Oreochromis niloticus: one gene and its partner. The main gene of each other region encodes a partner of the protein of the gene in region 2 in a complex. Links are inferred from orthologs where the notes say so. Each region holds a gene or a part of one and is shown on either strand. Other genes may lie near its edges.

The links.
Region 1: the proteins of slc39a7 (region 2) and mettl9 are in contact, whole or in part, in a crystal structure (PDB 8GZE), measured with the Homo sapiens proteins. The link is inferred for Oreochromis niloticus from reciprocal best matches to the Homo sapiens genes SLC39A7 and METTL9. Residues at the interface, in NP_001070984.1 of Homo sapiens: Gly65, His66, Thr67, His68, Glu69; in NP_057109.3 of Homo sapiens: Arg114, Thr115, Asn118, Arg123, Gly124, Met126, Met179, Asn210, Asp213, Arg214, Val241, His245, Tyr247, Glu249, Trp255, Tyr295, Leu296, Cys297, Glu298, Asp300, Tyr306, Val307, Leu308.

Annotation. Positions count from the first base shown.
Region 1 is NC_031973.2:26,775,568-26,784,314, forward strand, and holds the start of mettl9 (protein-L-histidine N-pros-methyltransferase), read right to left. Parts: upstream 3,577-8,747; 5' UTR 2,969-3,576; coding exon 2,929-2,968; exon of another isoform or gene 2,802-2,928; intron 2,779-2,801; exon of another isoform or gene 2,767-2,778; coding exon of another isoform or gene 2,730-2,766; coding exon 2,596-2,729; intron 1-2,595. UniProt on the Homo sapiens protein: Protein-histidine N-methyltransferase that specifically catalyzes 1-methylhistidine (pros-methylhistidine) methylation of target proteins.
Region 2 is NC_031985.2:6,813,720-6,822,084, forward strand, and holds the start of slc39a7 (zinc transporter Slc39a7), read right to left. Parts: upstream 3,168-8,365; 5' UTR 3,013-3,167; intron 1,143-3,012; 5' UTR 1,134-1,142; coding exon 576-1,133; intron 1-575. Other genes in the region: major histocompatibility complex class I-related gene protein, read left to right, coding at 4,139-4,187, 4,891-5,157, 5,605-5,883, 6,054-6,356, 6,987-7,091, 7,267-7,284, 7,393-7,406. UniProt on the Homo sapiens protein: Transports Zn(2+) from the endoplasmic reticulum (ER)/Golgi apparatus to the cytosol, playing an essential role in the regulation of cytosolic zinc levels.

The DNA of each region.
Region 1 (8,747 bases), on a different chromosome or scaffold from region 2:
AGGCTCACTGAAGGGGGGGCTGATTTGCTGGAGATAGTGGTTCAAGTAGTGTTACACTACATTTTATTTGCAATATCTGCGGTAAGTGGGAGCCCTGTACATGTTAAATTAAGGAATACAGCATGTTCTGAAGCACATTGTTCATTACAGCAAGATTATCATCAACGTTCTCAGTTTTTTTCCCCTTTCAAAAACCACACCCATATTATTCGCCCCGTTTATAATTGCGCAACACTTGCAAGTCATCATTTCACATAGTATCATTAATTGAGCTTAAAAAGTGGCCAGCAGGTGTCAGGCAGTTTTGAATCCACTGATACAACCTCGGTGTTGTGCCAAGTGATTTCTGATGTTTCAATGTATATTTTTAAGGGTTATACATTTGCCTATACTGGGCGTAACAGAATTTATGAAGAAGTTGTATATAAAATGAAGAAATGACCATTTATGACTGTGTTAGAGTACCTACATTTTAAATCAATGCAGTTCATATTTTTATAAAACTGTTATATTTGTTGAAATAGCCAGATCTCCCTTTAAAAAAAAACAACCAAACAAACAAACAAAAGCAGACATATGTACAGGGAGTGCAGAATTATTAGGCAAATGAGTATTTTGTCCACATCATCCTCTTCATGCATGTTGTCTTACTCCAAGCTGTATAGGCTCGAAAGCCTACTACCAATTAAGCATATTAGGTGATGTGCATCTCTGTAATGAGAAGAGGTGTGGTCTAATGACATCAACACCCTATATCAGGTGTGCATAATTATTAGGCAACTTCCTTTCCTTTGGCAAAATGGGTCAAAAGAAGGACTTGACAGGCTCAGAAAAGTCAAAAATAGTGAGATATCTTGCAGAGGGATGCAGCAGTCTTAAAATTGCAAAGCTTCTGAAGCGTGATCATCGAACAATCAAGCGTTTCATTCAAAATAGTCAACAGGGTCGCAAGAAGCGTGTGGAAAAACCAAGGTGCAAAATAACTGCCCATGAACTGAGAAAAGTCAAGCATGCAGCTGCCAAGATGTCACTTGCCACCAGTTTGGCCATATTTCAGAGCTGCAACATCACTGGAGTGCCCAAAAGCACAAGGTGTGCAATACTCAGAGACATGGCCAAGGTAAGAAAGGCTGAAAGACGACCACCACTGAACAAGACACAAACTGAAACATCAAGACTGGGCCAAGAAATATCTCAAGACTGATTTTTCTAAGGTTTTATGGACTGATGAAATGAGAGTGAGTCTTGATGGGCCAGATGGATGGGCCCGTGGCTGGATTGGTAAAGGGCAGAGAGCTCCAGTCCGACTCAGACGCCAGCAAGGTGGAGGTGGAGTACTGGTTTGGGCTGGTATCATCAAAGATGAGCTTGTGGGGCCTTTTCGGGTTGAGGATGCAGTCAAGCTCAACTCCCAGTCCTACTGCCAGTTTCTGGAAGACACCTTCTTCAAGCAGTGGTACAGGAAGAAGTCTGCATCCTTCAAGAAAAACATGATTTTCATGCAGGGCAATGCTCCATCACACGCGTCCAAGCACTCCACAGCGTGGCTGGCAAGAAAGGGTATAAAAGAAGAAAAACTAATGACATGGCCTCCTTGTTCACCTGATCTGAACCCCATTGAGAACCTGTGGTCCATCATCAAATGTGAGATTTACAAGGAGGGAAAACAGTACACCTCTCTGAACAGTGTCTGGGAGGCTGTGGTTGCTGCTGCACGCAATGTTGATGGTGAACAGATCAAAACACTGACAGAATCCATGGATGGCAGGCTTTTGAGTCTCCTTGCAAAGAAAGGTGGCTATATTGGTCGCTGATTTGTTTTTGTTTTGTTTTTGAATGTCAGAAATGTATATTTGTGAATGTGGAGGTGTTATATTGGTTTCACTGGTAAAAATAAATAATTGAAATGGGTATATATTTGTTTTTGTTAAGTTGCCTAATAATTATGCACAGTAATAGTCACCTGCACACAGATATCCCCCTAAAATAGCTAAAACTAAAAACTACTTCCAAAAACATTCAGCTTTGATATTAATGAGTTTTTTGGGTTCATTGAGAACATGGTTGTTGTTCAATAATAAAATTATTCCTCAAAAATACAACTTGCCTAATAATTCTGCACTCCCTGTATGTGTGTGAGATATATATATATATATATATATATATATATATATATATATATATATATATATATATATATATATATATATATATATATATATATATATATATATATATATATATATAGATAGATCTCTCTCTACCTCTCTCTCTCCACACACACGTCACTTTGCCAAAAAAAGCACATGTGTCTACATTGTGACAGGAATGAAGTTCGTGGCTCAAAATTACCCTCTCATACCCACGAGAAACTTGTTTGCCATCCTTTTCACATATTATAGATCAACAAGTCAATAGCAGTTTAAATACGGGCAATAATTTTTGTGCAAATACCGGAAATCACTTTGGCAAACGATCACTTTTTAGTCCAACACCTGCACAATTGATTCAAACTTCCCAGTATTTCACAAAGCGTCGTTTTACCCTTTACAGAACCCCCGCTGTCGCGACAAGGACCATTCGCAGGTAACCTACCTTTGTAACGTCTATCGTATCCAGGTCGCTCAGCATGTTCACCAGGAGGGAGCGGACAACCGGATTTCGGATGTACTTCCCGGTCCACATCCTCCTGATTGAGAGCAGAAAGGCGACGTAACCTACGACCCACCCTACAAAAAGCAACGTCCTCAGCTGCAGAGGACACATAATGAACAAAGTCTTGAGCAGAAGAGATGACAAACCGAGAGAGAAGAGGCAAAGTGGCCAGAATGCCGTGGTTAATATTAGATGATGTTAAAGAGGCGAACAGCAGCCACTTGCAAAGCAACACGCAGAGGCATGTGTCCGGTTACACGACGGCAAACAAACCTGCGGGGAAAGCAGAGGATTCAACAAGGCCCGTTACCATGTACTTAATCCCACTGTTAGCTTATTATATTCAATTCAGTGCCATCTGTAGGGTCTCTGCCCAATATGACAACAAAAAGGCAATGCTTTGTCTTCTTTTGGCTTTATTGGAGGCGTTTAAACCGCTTATGCGCGCTTTACCGCCACCCTATGCTTAGGCGTGTCCATTAGACCTAAAAAACCGGTTTCCAGGACCTATCACCTCATTTAAAACCCAGCAATTATTTAAAGCGCCCGTGAATCATTTCCTGCAATATGTAAAAGTTTTTCCAGTCGTTTCCTCCCCAAACCACAGCTTATTGTAAGTGAATATTTTAAAGATTGAGGTTGCCACATGACATCACCTGTTAGTGAAGTTCAGTTTTTAAGGTTTGAGCAGAGTGTTCGCTGTAATCTTGGCATTGTGCAACCAGGCATGATGCAAGGTTTGATCTGACCAAGAAACAAGAGCATGCTCACTGGCTAACAAATGGTCAGTGACCAATGAACAAACTCTGGATAAGTTACTGCACTATAGGACTAGAAATGTGAAGATGCACCTCATTTTATTCAACAGCCTGAAAGTAGCAACCAATCTCAAACGGGAATGTTTAAAGAGGTCAGAGCAAGGGAACTCAGGGCCAGTTTTCCATAGACTCCTGGTATCCTGCAGTCTTGTGACAGAGTCACCCTCCAACCATAAACAGGAGCATGTTTATGGACTGATATAAAGGCTATTCTACACTAGGAATGTTTCCTCTAGAAATCTAGCAAGGTTTAAAGATATTTAAAAAAAAAAAAAAAAAAGTCTGTTACTTGCACCAATGAGCAAATATGTGAATTTTTCCAACCAAACTAGTAAGCATCTAAATAGTACACAATTTTGTCCAAATATGGTTACTTCTGGATCAAAACCAAATGCACAACAACAGTGGCTATTGCTGTCTTTTTTTAGTTGGCATTGATTATACAAAACATGAAGACAATGCAATGTTGCAAGGCCTCAGTTTCAGACAAGACTGCAAAAGCGAAATGGGGCACTGAAATAATTTAAAGCAATATGGGAGAATTTGAAGTGCCTGAAGGTGTTACAAAAGATGCCATCAAGAGGCAAGAATTGCTTCTCAAAGAAATTTGATTTGTCCCTTTAATCACTGCGTCTCCCCATCTTGCAGTTTAGCTATCTTTGCATTCCCATTACCAGCAGGCATACAGAGATGATGTTGGCTGTTGCATATTGACATTATGCCAACAATTCATCCACTGAACTAAAATGAGTCAAGTTCCCTCTTGTGGCTTCTCAAACCTATTAGAGTTTCAATACACGACAGAAGTCTTGCTGTGGGTAACAGACAGCCATGGAGAAACCTTTAACTGATTGAATCAACTTAGGCATCATTTCATAATTCATAAAATATGTGCAAAAAACATCTGCCATTTAAAAGCAAGAAAACACACTTCACCAGATTACCACTAAAATGCTAACGATGTAAAAATGAGGTCATTTAGCATCAGTTTGTCAATCGTCTGCAGCAGCTCAAAGATGTGAGAAGCTTTCCTTTAACTTTACAGTTTCATTTGTTTTACTGGGAGAAGCTTCTAAGAGAATTCTGTGTAAAAGACTGTCTAGACATTGTTTGAATTGGTTTTCCTTACTTTAGGTTTCAAATAATTGAAACAACTGCACCATGTCCTGTTTTGCTGCTCAAGAGAACTTTTTCATACTTTGCATGGTTAGAACAGCCAGCAAGATGAGTCACATAGTGATCCTAGTGATTGACCTTGGAAATAAAGAGTGTGTTCATCTCTAGTCTGTTTCTTTCCCAAAGGGAATACCACATGATAATCCTAACAAGGCCGTGCACACAAAAACAAACTCCACTAAGAATAGTTCAAATATTGACTTTGTGAAAGTTCTCCCAGATGAATTCACTCAGGGCTTTCAAATACAAAGCTCAAAAGCAACCTTTTTGAATTTGATCTTCAAATGTCTCCTTTCCAAAGCTGAAAACTGCTGGAAGCTGTCACTCATTTACATTTATATGGTTTAGATGAAAATGTTATAAATAAAAATGTAACTAGAACCCAAGAGAAGCAGCAGTGGAAGCCTTCTTTGTTGTGAAAAAATATTATATTTTAATTTTATTAAAGATTATATTCTATATAACATTAAAGTATAGTACAGTGTCACACTATAATTAACAGAAAGGGAGGTGTGCAGACATGTCCTCGACATGGACAAACGCATCCAAGAGGCTCTCTGGGAGACATTTCTACAGATATGCAGTGAATGCCCAGGAAATACACGGACCCTGGAAGCAGTGTTTGAAATTCAGCATGTGTTACATACCTGCACGGCGCGCGAAGAGATGAGGCTTACCTGCACCTGCAGAAGTAAACGAATTTCAACACCTCCTGCTACAGCTATTTATTTCCGGACATAATGAGCAGATAAAAAGTGGGCGTGGTTGGCTGCACTTGTTGTTCGAAGACCACTTGATGCCTTTGGAAAATGAGAAGGAAAGAATAAATTTTGGACTTCTTATGTGATAATTTTTCTCGTCTTATTTTGACCTTATCCTTTATAACTTTCTAGCTCCTCTTTTCATCTCACAATTTGGTATTCTATCTTGCCATCTGCATGTTTTGTCCCATCACTTAGATTTTTCCCTCATAATTTTAAACAATTTGTCATGCCTTCATTTTCTTTTCAGTTTTTCAAAACTCTCACCATTGACCTTTGTGGTTTCATAATGATAGTTTTCTTTTTAAAAACGCCGACTATTTTAGCTGATCATTTTAACATGCAAGTCAAATTGTGACAATTTCTTTAAATCATGACTAACTTTTTTGGTCTTTAACATTTCTGGATTTGGTTTTTCTTTTTAATGGCCGAAATTGACTTCTATACTATACAAGACTGTAAACGCGAGGTAACAGAAAATCGCGTTGCCTTGAATTTGACTAGGAGTAATGTTAGTAGCAGTGTTTCATCAGCAGATGTCGCTACTACATCACCGCTCTGCTAGCTCTCTCTCACTCTTCTCTCCTTCGATGAAACGCCAGCAGGGTCCACTCAGGGAAATAAGCTTCTAACAAGACTTACTTAATACTGACTAAAAGTGGTCTGAGGATTTAACTCACACTGCCATCACACAAACAGTCAAATTTAAATCCGTCAAGAAAACCTAAGCAAACACACAAAAACAACTAGGGCTAAAATAAGCAATTAAAGTACATAAATTGGGGAAATGGCTACTTAATAGCGAGAGCTTTGCTTTGTAATAATAGTACTAATATTTATTTTTTAATAATTATTAATAAAAAACAACTTTTGTTTTAATATGACGGTCATACAGTAGGTTGGTTACTTACCTCCGTTAAGTTAACCAACCCTAAGAAGAACGCTAGATCGAGTTGTGTAATTTTCCCTTCACAATAAAATCATATAAAAGTGGAAGCCAGACAATCTAAGGGTTATTGCTCAGTGGCGTCAGAAACTGACGTTGAATTTTCCGGTCCGAACATAACTCTGTGCCATCTGATATTGAAAACAAGCAAAAACAAAGGAAGTTTGACAAGCAAGAATCCAAGACTTGTTGCGCAACTTTACTTTGAAAGTTTCTACCAGAAGTTGTGTCAGTGTTCGCGGGTCTCTTGACGGTGTAAGTCCGTCTTGCGCTACCCTGAGCGCTCTTCTTACTCGGTTGTGAGCTATCTTATTACAGCACCGTAGTTCAGCAGGTGAGAACCTTTTTTCCTTCTTTAAACCTGTTCATTGTGAACAGACTAAAGCAGACTAAAAAGAGACGGACTCGGTTAATAGAAATACGACAGGATTATAGTAGGAAGGACGGTAGCTGGGACACCTTGATAGTTGAGATTGGTAACTTGGCGAACTAGATTTGAACGATGAGAGCAGACGGCAGTCCCAATAAAATGCGTCCACAAGTCGCATGATCCTGTTTTTTTCACTTACAGGCAAATAGCTGAACATGTACGATAACTTTGAACGAGCTATTGGCGTTTTCCAGTAAATTTCCCTGGTAGGCAAGGACCTTGTTTTCATAAATCACCAACTTTCAGGGCTTTTTCCACCCATCTGTGCTTCACGGTGGTGGAAGAGGTGTTATGGACTTGTGATGTTCATATGATGCTATTGCCGATGTTTGGATTTCATAAAGTTCTCAATTTTTTGTATATATTACATTTGTCCGTTTGCTGCAGTGGGATGTCAAATGAAATTGTCCCAGTGAACAATAGAGGTTTGGTCTGCTTGCTATTGAGCTGAATATTGCAGAGAAAATTAGGTCTACAACATATACATCTAGTCTGAAAAGTCAACATTTTCAGACTAGAGAAAATTAGACTGAAGAATTTCTCTTACAGTGTAGTGCAACTCAAGGATTTGTCACTTATCACTTTGGTCATCCACGATCACCTACGGTGTAACCCTACTGAAGTAAGCTCTCTATCCACTTTAGGCTATCATGCCAATTTTGGCTTCCTCGTTTACATTGTGCATTGCTCATGTTAGTGATGGGCTGTGCAGTTGTTTACTGCCTGTAGAGGAGCCTGGCTAGTTTTAAACCTTGTGTCAGTACAAAACATGCATTGGCATCTATTGCTAGGCTACCCTGCTGCATCATCACCTAGAAGTCTGCAGCAGAATAGCTGAACTATGTGGAGATCGTGCCGGCAGAGCACTATTTCATCCAAGACAGCTTCCTCTGGACTCAGACTGTTTTGTTTTGCATACAGACAGAATCTAATTGGACACTGTTTGACTGTGAAAAACCCTGTTTAATCTGCCTCAGTGGTAAGTTTGGAAACCCAGGGAGGCTGTCTCTAAGTTTCCCTGAGATCAATTGTATGGTCATTTTGTGTCCCCCTAGTACACAAAATGCACTTGCTAACCCACACATCTGTGATTTTGAACAAATTGGTTCTGAAGTGGCTCTGCCGGCTGGTTCTTCTCAGAGAGAAAAACACAACTTTTTCTCCCAATAACGTAAGCTTGCAGAATGCCTGGCATTGCTTCACTGAAAAGATGCTTCCTCTTAAAGGTCAGGGGGATGTTATCAGTGAACGGAGACCATGTTGCTGCACGGGAAGAGTTGGAGATTAGTTGCACACTCCAGAGGGACCTGGCTTCCTGCATCAAAGAAAACAAACAAATGCTGGGTCAAGTTTAAGTCACTTGCTTATTCCTGACTGGCTTATTGATTGCTTGGAAGGGATTGCATTTTATTTGCCTGTTGAATTAGACAACCTCTTCAATTAGAGCTTGATAATTGTTTTATATTAAAGGATATCAAATAATGGTGCCATTGTTTATTAGGTTTCACAAAATACTTACTAACTTACCACAATGCACCTGTATAAGCTAAGCATTTTTCCCAGACATTTTTTTAGTCTTCGTTGATGTTTATCTGTTGTGCCACATCACTGGACTTTATAGTCTTCAAAGAGGTAAATCCATTTTCACATAAGTCAAATATTTCAACTAAGGGGAAAAAAAATCCATCAGCTAGATTTCCCATGACCATGAATTCTCTCTTGATGTGATGAGCAGTTGGAAAAGGAGGACAATATTACTGATGCTGTTTGAGGGCAGCTCGGATTGTATCGTTCAGATCAGAATTTCTGTATAGACAGGAGAGGAAAGGGCTTGGAGAAAAGTAAGTGTTGGTAGGTTCTCATGCTAAATTGGGAAAATATGTTGCTTTAACCCGTTTCCAGCTATCTGTTCTACTCATCCTTGTATTACCGGCTGTTTGGGGTGAATATCTGTGGTTTTC
Region 2 (8,365 bases):
TAAAATGGCAAACGTTTTTCTTTACAAGCATCAAGTAGATAATTAGAGAAAATAATTAATGACATATTTTGTTTGATTTGTAAACATATTGTGATGACTGAATTTGAAGTGCAGTAAAAAGAGATATTTCTCCTTTACAGACAAAATGTAATCTGATTAAGTACATGTGATTACTGGCGATGATAAATGGTCAAATGAACATTTGTTAATTTATTTAAATAATCTGTGTATTTTCATATTGTTTTTGACCAGTTTTCCAGGCTGTTTTTTTTTTTTTACTGAAAAACTGCACTTAACAAAAGTACTTATAAGAGTATAATAATATAATTTTTCTTAGGCTGTGGCTATGACCCATTTATTGTTATTATTCACAAAAATTTTAAATCTGACAATTGAAAGAAGTGGTTTACTGGAGGCTTATGAGACAGACGTTTTTTGTCTTGATGCTTTATAGTTTTTCTGAGACATGAACATTGCATCAATGTCTCTAACAATCAGCAAGAAAAAAAAGTTTATGCACAATGATTAATTTGTCTTCAAACCCAATTTCTGAACCTAAACAAGCAGTCACTCACCTGTGTCCACAGCTCCACCGTGTTCCTCTTCTCGCGCCCCGCCTCCCTCTTCGTCCTCTCCCCTCCGTGTGAGTGCCCGTGTCCACCTCCCTCCTTATGTACTCGAACAACATTCTCACGATGAGCATCCTCATGTCCGTGATCGTGAGAGTGGCCGTGTCCGTGATCGTGTCCGTGATCATGAGAGTGGCCGTGTCCGTGATCGTGTACGTGATCATGAGAGTGGCCGTGGCCGTGATCGTGTCCGTGATCATGAGAGTGGCCGTGGCCGTGATCGTGTCCGTGATCGTGTCCGTGATCGTGACCGTGATCGTGATGCTCCTCTTCCTGCAGGTTGGCTTCAGCGCTCCACTTGCTTGCTCCGTGGAACATCTTCACCTGAGAGCCATGGGAGTGCCCGTGATGATCATCCTCTCCGTGGGAGTGGCCGTGGTGGCCGTGGGAGTGGGTGTGTCCATGGTCACCATGGGAATGGCTGTGAGCAGTGGCTAAATGAGATGCTAACAATAGTACTGCAGATGCTGCCAATGTCAGTGCCAGCAGACGTACACAGCCCATATTAAAACCCTGGGATGTAGAGAAAAGAGAAGAAGACATCTAATAAATAAAAACCCAGCAGCATGAAAACTGAAGCCAAAGTGAGAGTGAAGAAACAGACTCTCAGTTTAAACTGTCCAACCAAATGATATTAAGAACATTTTTAAAGGTTTGATGCAAAATTAACTATAAAATTCCCCTCTGTGGATAGTTTCCACATCATTAATAATCTGTTTGTAACACTGCAGTTTTATTTTCTTCAGGCTTAAGATTAAGGCTGCTGATAGACAGGGAAATGCAGCTGATCAGTGTCGGGTGGACCACACTTTGAGTCACTGAACTGCACCTCATGACTCTGTTTGTGTTGTTAGTGCCTTATTGAACATTTGTCAATGACATTGTAATACTTTACTTGTCTCATCTATATTAAGCAGTTTAAAAATGCAGCTTGGTAACCAAGCTAGTATCAAATGATAACTACCACTCTCTGGTCCAAATATGGTAACTTCCAGCTCCAAAGCACTAACATGGCAGAAGTCAAATACAGAACACTGAAACGTTAACAAGAAGAATCCAAGACCAATGGGTGATGCAATAATGGCTATGTTCATCATTTATATACAGTTTATGGCTCTAACTCAGAGGGCATGTTTACACGAAGGAATCTTTGGTACTCAACAGGACAGTTATAATAGTTGTGGGCTGCATAGAGCCGATGTTTGCATGTTTGGTTATGTTGTAGGTTATAGCATAGGGTTCAGAAGGGTTTGTGGTTATGACGTAGATTTCCTGTTGAAGTACAAATCCCCAGTCACGCATGTATACGACATTAGATTCTGTCTTAGTTATCCTCTTTGTTCTGTGCTGGACATAATGCTGCAACTCATGACCTTCATCTATCTCTGTCTGCACTTGCAGCTCAGCCAGCACAGTCCTCCACGTTGTCTTTATTTAACCAGTAAACATCTGGCCACATTTTACGATCCCTTTCTGCTCATGGTGGGTTTAAAAATCACAAGTAGAACAGAAAGAGTCAGAATCAATCTTTGGCCCTAACAGGTTGTGTGATATCCATCTGTATTTATGAGCTATTTCAAGAGGAAATTAGACACTACATATGTACAGAAGGTGCAACAAGTTACTGCAGAAACCAGCACTTTCATTAAATGCAGGATCAGAGCTATTCTCCAAGATCTGAGACGTCAACAAATAAACCTCAATAAGCTTAAACTTCTATTAAAATATGACTACGTATGTCATCCGGTGCGCTTCCGGACGCATTTCCAGTCACATGTGTTTCAGATCCGGACCAAATGAGGCGATTGACCTGTTAACTGACCAAGATAACAGCGAGTTATCCTAATTCATCAGGAGTTTGCATGAAGCTATTATAACTGTCCACTGCTGTGACTGCAGACCTAAGCCCTTCAAATCGAAAAAAAAAAAAAAAAAAAAAACCCACGTTGTAACTTCTGTTTTTTGTGCTTTTAGCTGGTTTGCTTTGATATAATACTGTAATAGATCGCTGCATGTGTATGTATGGGCAGCAGCATCTGCTGATGTGTGCCTGCAGCCGTATCACTTTAGCTGTGACGATACAATGAAGTGAAGGTAACCTGACTTTGATTGAGCTAGCTTTGTCTTCTCTTGTGATTGTTTATTTGCTCACTGTTTGGTGGGTGAAAGTGGATAATCCCTGTGGAGAGCATCAACTTTAATCTCAAAGTAAACAGCAAAAGCCGCTCAAAGAGGACCACTGACCGCAGGTTTCAATTAGCTGTTAGGAAAGTCTGCTAGCTAGCTAGCTAGCTAGTAACTAACTTGCTAGCATGTTGCTGCAGCAGAAGCAACATGTCTGAATGCAACTTGATAACAGAAAAAATAAAGATTAAAATCTTACCAGATAGTGTCAGATATCAGTGAGTGTCTGCCACTTGATAACCGTCTATCCTGCGCTCAGAACTACCAATCTTTCTGCCTACGTTGATGCTGCTGATGGCTGAGAATAAGACGTGGCGTTTACTCAACTAAACTAACCGAAATCTCGCGGGATCACGTTCCATTCAAAGTCTACCTCCTCCTGTTGTGGTGCTCTTGAGACAATTTTTTACTCACTACTTAGATTAAATTACATGTTTATTTATTATAAAGCATTATAGTCACATGTTAAAACTTTTAACTGAAAATAAAAAAAGAATATCATTTCTTCTGATTTAAAGGAGATAACCAAATTATCGCGAGATATGTGATACCGACAGCCAGATCCCGGAGCTAGGGAGGATATAAACATCCTGCCTCGAATAACTGACGGTTTTGTTTATTTATGTAAAGGAAGGAATCACACTTTTTCATGATAGAGAGAGAGTCTATCATGACATAACAAAACAGCAACAATAACAACAACAACAACAACAACAATAATAATATAATAATAATAATAATAATACAGATTCTACACATTTATGTTTTATGAATTTTCAGATAACTTTTATTTAAAAGAGGAACAATATCACAAAAATAACGTTAATATTTATGAAAAAAGCACATATTGTTGAAGTAGACGTTGCTTTGAATCCAGTGATAATAATCGTTCGATGAAGCAGTCATTACTGCAATATACATCACAATATGTTTTTTTTTTTAAATAATTGATACATTAAAAATACATTTTTTAAAAATCCAGATTTTTAACTATGAGGACAATGGTTTTGTCTTCTAGGTCCTAAAAGTTACTTACACTAAGACACATTTCTGACATATGACCTTTTAACATGTTTTTGAAACAAAAGGCAAATGTGGTTTGCTCAGTCCTTAACAAAAAAAAAGTAGCTTATTTTGCAGTGCTTCACTTTCGCACTCAGCACTATAGGTTATGACAGGTCATATAGCCGGCCGGTCTGTTGTGCCAGCACCTAAATGTGACGTTATTGGTCAGAGACGCTTTCACACCCCCAGCTTCTCTGTTCACATTTCTTATCAGCTGTCTATTTTAGCTATATAGGACCCATCTTATTCATACAAACAGGATGAATAGCCTGTGTCTTTTTCTCCTCTCCTGTCACGTTTCATCTGCAGGTAAAATGATTCCTTCTTATTCCTGTAAAGCACGTCTGTAGCAGCCGTTACTGTCCTTTCTTCCTGTATAACGGAACTCTGATGCTGCGCTTTTAGTTTTACTTTCGTCTTTAATTTTATGATCCCCTAAATTACCATTTTTTTACATGTAGGAGGAAGTTAAGAATAGCTCATAAATGCATTCCTGAAACATCTCCTCCTAATTCAGTTCATTTTATTGATGTTTAATCCGCAGTTTTATATCACGAGGAAGAACTGCTGACATTGGCAACCCGTTGAGATAGTCACACGCAGTTCCCATTAACGTAACTAAATTAGTTTTATATCAGCAACAAATAGTACCACTACTCCTTCTGCTGCATCGGCTGCTGCTAATACTGCTATTGAGTTTAAATGAGACTATTAACAAGCACAACATCATTTATTTGTTATTATATCATATTTAAACACTGGGGGGCAGTGTAGCCTACAAAGCGACAAACTGCTATTTTAACCTGAATCAGCCAGTCCTATAAAAACAGTCCTCATTTGAACTGTTGCTTTCTGTGACAGATTTGACTTTGGTTTGATTAAATTAGCTTAAAATTTATGAGAATGACACTTTTTCAAAGAACAATAACTACTGAATTATTAGTAAAATGTCATTATAAATAAAACCACTGTTCTATTGGTGCTCTAATCGCTGACATGTTTTCCTCAACAGTGAAACACTCCCTGAAATATTTCATCACTGCTTCCTCTGGGATCTCAGACTTCCCAGAATTTGTTGGTGCGGCTGTAGTTGATGGGGTTTTAGTGGGCTACTGTGACAGCAGCATCAGGAGAGCTGAACCCAAACTGGAATGGATGAAGGAGTTAATAAAAAAAGATCCTCAGCATTTGGAGTGGTACACGCAGAAGTGCTCTGGGAATCAGCAGGTCTTCAGAGCCAATATTAATAGTCTGAAGAAGCGCTTAAACCAAACTGGAGGTACAGTAATATCACCCTTTACCTTAAATGTTGCTCTTTTCATTCACACACACAGTGAGAGTTACATCCTTCCATCATACTTTATTTCATTTTATTTGGGGGTTTTCATTTACACACCTAAAATAATCAGTCTACCACATAAGTAAAATTACAAGTAAGATATTGACTCTGTTCTAGTGACCATAATAAATTATTGGCCTAGTTTAACTTGTTGTGTTAGAGGGATAGCAAGAAAAATCCCTGCCATATACAAGGTCACTGTCACTATGTACATCAACAGTAGCTGAAGTAAATGGTTACTTCCAAGGACAAGAATAATAAAGAGGAGGATTTCTTTGTGTTGTTTTTATGGTAAATATTGAAAACTTGCAGCAGGATTTACCTTTCTGATCATCTTTAACCATCCACAACTTTACTGGCTCTGCATTCTCTCTCTCTCTCTGTCAGGTGTTCACATTTTTCAGAGGATGAATGGCTGTGAATGGGACGATGAGACTGATACAATCACAGGTTTTAATCAGTATGGTTATGATGGGGAAGACTTCATAGCATTGGACCTGCAGACACTAACATGGATTGCTCCTAAACCACAGGCTGTCGTCACAAAACTGCAGTGGGATACTGAAAAACCCCGATTAGAACACAACAAGAACTACTACATCAACAGGTGCCCCGACTGGCTGAAGAAGTATGTGAAATATGGGAGGAGCTTTCTGCAGAGAACAGGTAGAATTACATATGCTATTATATATGGTTGCAAAAGCTTCCCTTTCTCTTTCTATTCCAGATTATCATTTCAAGGAAAATGAACCAGTGCATAGACAAACATTTCATCCATGATTATCAGCTGTCCCAGATAAAGCCTCTCTCCCTATTTTGTTTTTATCTTTTCCCAGTTCTTCCCTCAGTTTCTCTCCTGCAGAGGACTCCCTCCTCTCTAGTCAGCTGCCATGCTACAGGTTTCTACCCAGAGAGAGCCATGATGTTCTGGAGGAGAGACGAAGAGGAAATTCATGAGGGTGTGGAGCATGGAGAGATCCTCCCCAACCATGACGGGAGCTTCCAGATGAGTGTTGAGTTGAATGTTTCATCAATCAAGCCAGACGACTGGAGGAGGTACGACTGTGTGTTTCAGCTCTCTGACGTTAAGGAAGACATCATCACCAAACTGGACAAAACAGCGATCCGGACAAACTGGGGTGAGACAGGCTCAGGAATGAAGTTCTGTATCTCAAAGTTTACAACACCATCATATTTAAAAAAACTTTGAAACAAATAAATGTCTGCATGAAATTCTTGAGTCAACAGAAATTCATTTGTGATGTCATTTTAACTATATGTAATTAAAAAATATTTTGCACAGTGTCAGAGGAAACAATGGAGACATTAATTAAGAGTAAAGGACCTCTGATCTGCTAAAGTTTCTCAAATGTGCCAAATCCGATCATAGAACCGATATAAAAAACACCAAATATTGTACAACCTCATCCTATAACCATGTATAGAATAATGGTGCTAACATTTACACTAAGGAGAAGTTTGATAACAAAAAAGCCAAAAATGCATAATTAAATTAGGCTGAAGCAGTATTTACAGTTTTTGCTTTTACATTGCAAACCATCCTAAACACAAACACTATTTTTCTTCTTTATGATCCAAACAAACTGAGATCTGGCTACTACAGATTTCATGAACCACACCGTTGAAGAAGAAAATGAGAAAATGTTTCTCTTAACCACATACAATGTTCAGAAGTGATGCATTAACACTGGAAACAGCAGCTTGGTTTGGCAGCAGAGTGAATGATCCAACATTTTGGACCTTTTCAGTTTCTCCCTCAGTGTTTCCTGTTGGTCCTGTTGTTGGAGGTGTTGGAGGAGTTTTACTCCTCCTGGCAGTCTTTGGTTTCTTCATCTGGAGAAGAAACAGTAATGGTGAGATTACAGCAGATTTTACTCCAATAATGAATTTCGAATTTATGCACGTTGTAGTTATATGTACTTACATGATAGTTTTGGTGATATTTTTAGTGAGTTATTTGATAATTTGGCTTTGCTAAACTCTGTCATGTTAATCATTTTGTTTTTCATTATTCTGCCTGTATTTCAGAGTTCCAGCTGGCAAACAGTGAGTAATATTAATAAAATGCAGCAACTTGTTTTTACTTTGTTAGTAACTGATACTCTGTTTACTGTAACAGGAGACATTTCATTTTCTGTTTTCTGTTTGTCTTAGCAGGGGAGCAGTGACGGTGAGAAGAAGCTAAGCGATCACTGAGTTTCATCACGTTTTCCCAGAAAGAGAAATATTTTCATTTGGAGAGTGCTGATGACCCACCAGCATGCTGATGATATTTAATTCTAACAGCTCCAGCATCAGCAGATTGGACAGCTTTCATTAGCTGAACATACATAGAAAGATGCAGCTTTCAGGTTTGAAGAACAGTGCAAAGTGGGAGACTTATCTGACTGTATGGAGGACAGCCAAACAGCTGCTTTACATTTTGATCTTAGTAAACAGTTTCCTGATGAGTTTATAATCTCAGTCACTACTTTCAAGTCTTACAACATGATGCTTGTTCAGAAACTAGGGTATGCTTTAGGACTAAATTGTGTAGTTGGCATGAAGTCCCTCATTTCTCTGTCCATTCCTCAATCAGCAATGGCCAAAATGCTCCGTTTGAGGCTGCAAGGATGTGACTTCACTAACATCTGGGTGATGATATTGATAATGATATTTTTAAAAAAAAATTATTTAATAAGCGTATTAAGTGTGTGAGAAGAGTTAAAATCCATTTTTGTTTTCTGTGTTTTTTGGTACATGTTCAGATTTTTTACTAGGTCTGTTTCCTTCTAACCAGCTATTTATTCAATATGATGTAAACATATACGGTACTGTGCCCTGCACAGAGAGTTGCACATGATTGTTTAAATATTTCTGAACCTTTAGATAAGAGCGTAATTATTATACACAGAGATAACATGAACAACAAAATAAAAGAAGCAGACTTTTATCCTTTGCTCTGTTGCTGACTGTGTTTGTCTCTGTTCTAAACCTCTGTTGTGTGAGTTTAGACTCATTTGAAAACAAGAAACATCAATTCTGAAAATAAGTTCTGTCTAAATTGCGAGTAATGAAAGACATTAAATACAAAAATCGAGTAATAAAAAAAAATTAAATTATCTGGATGCATAAACATCTGATTAAA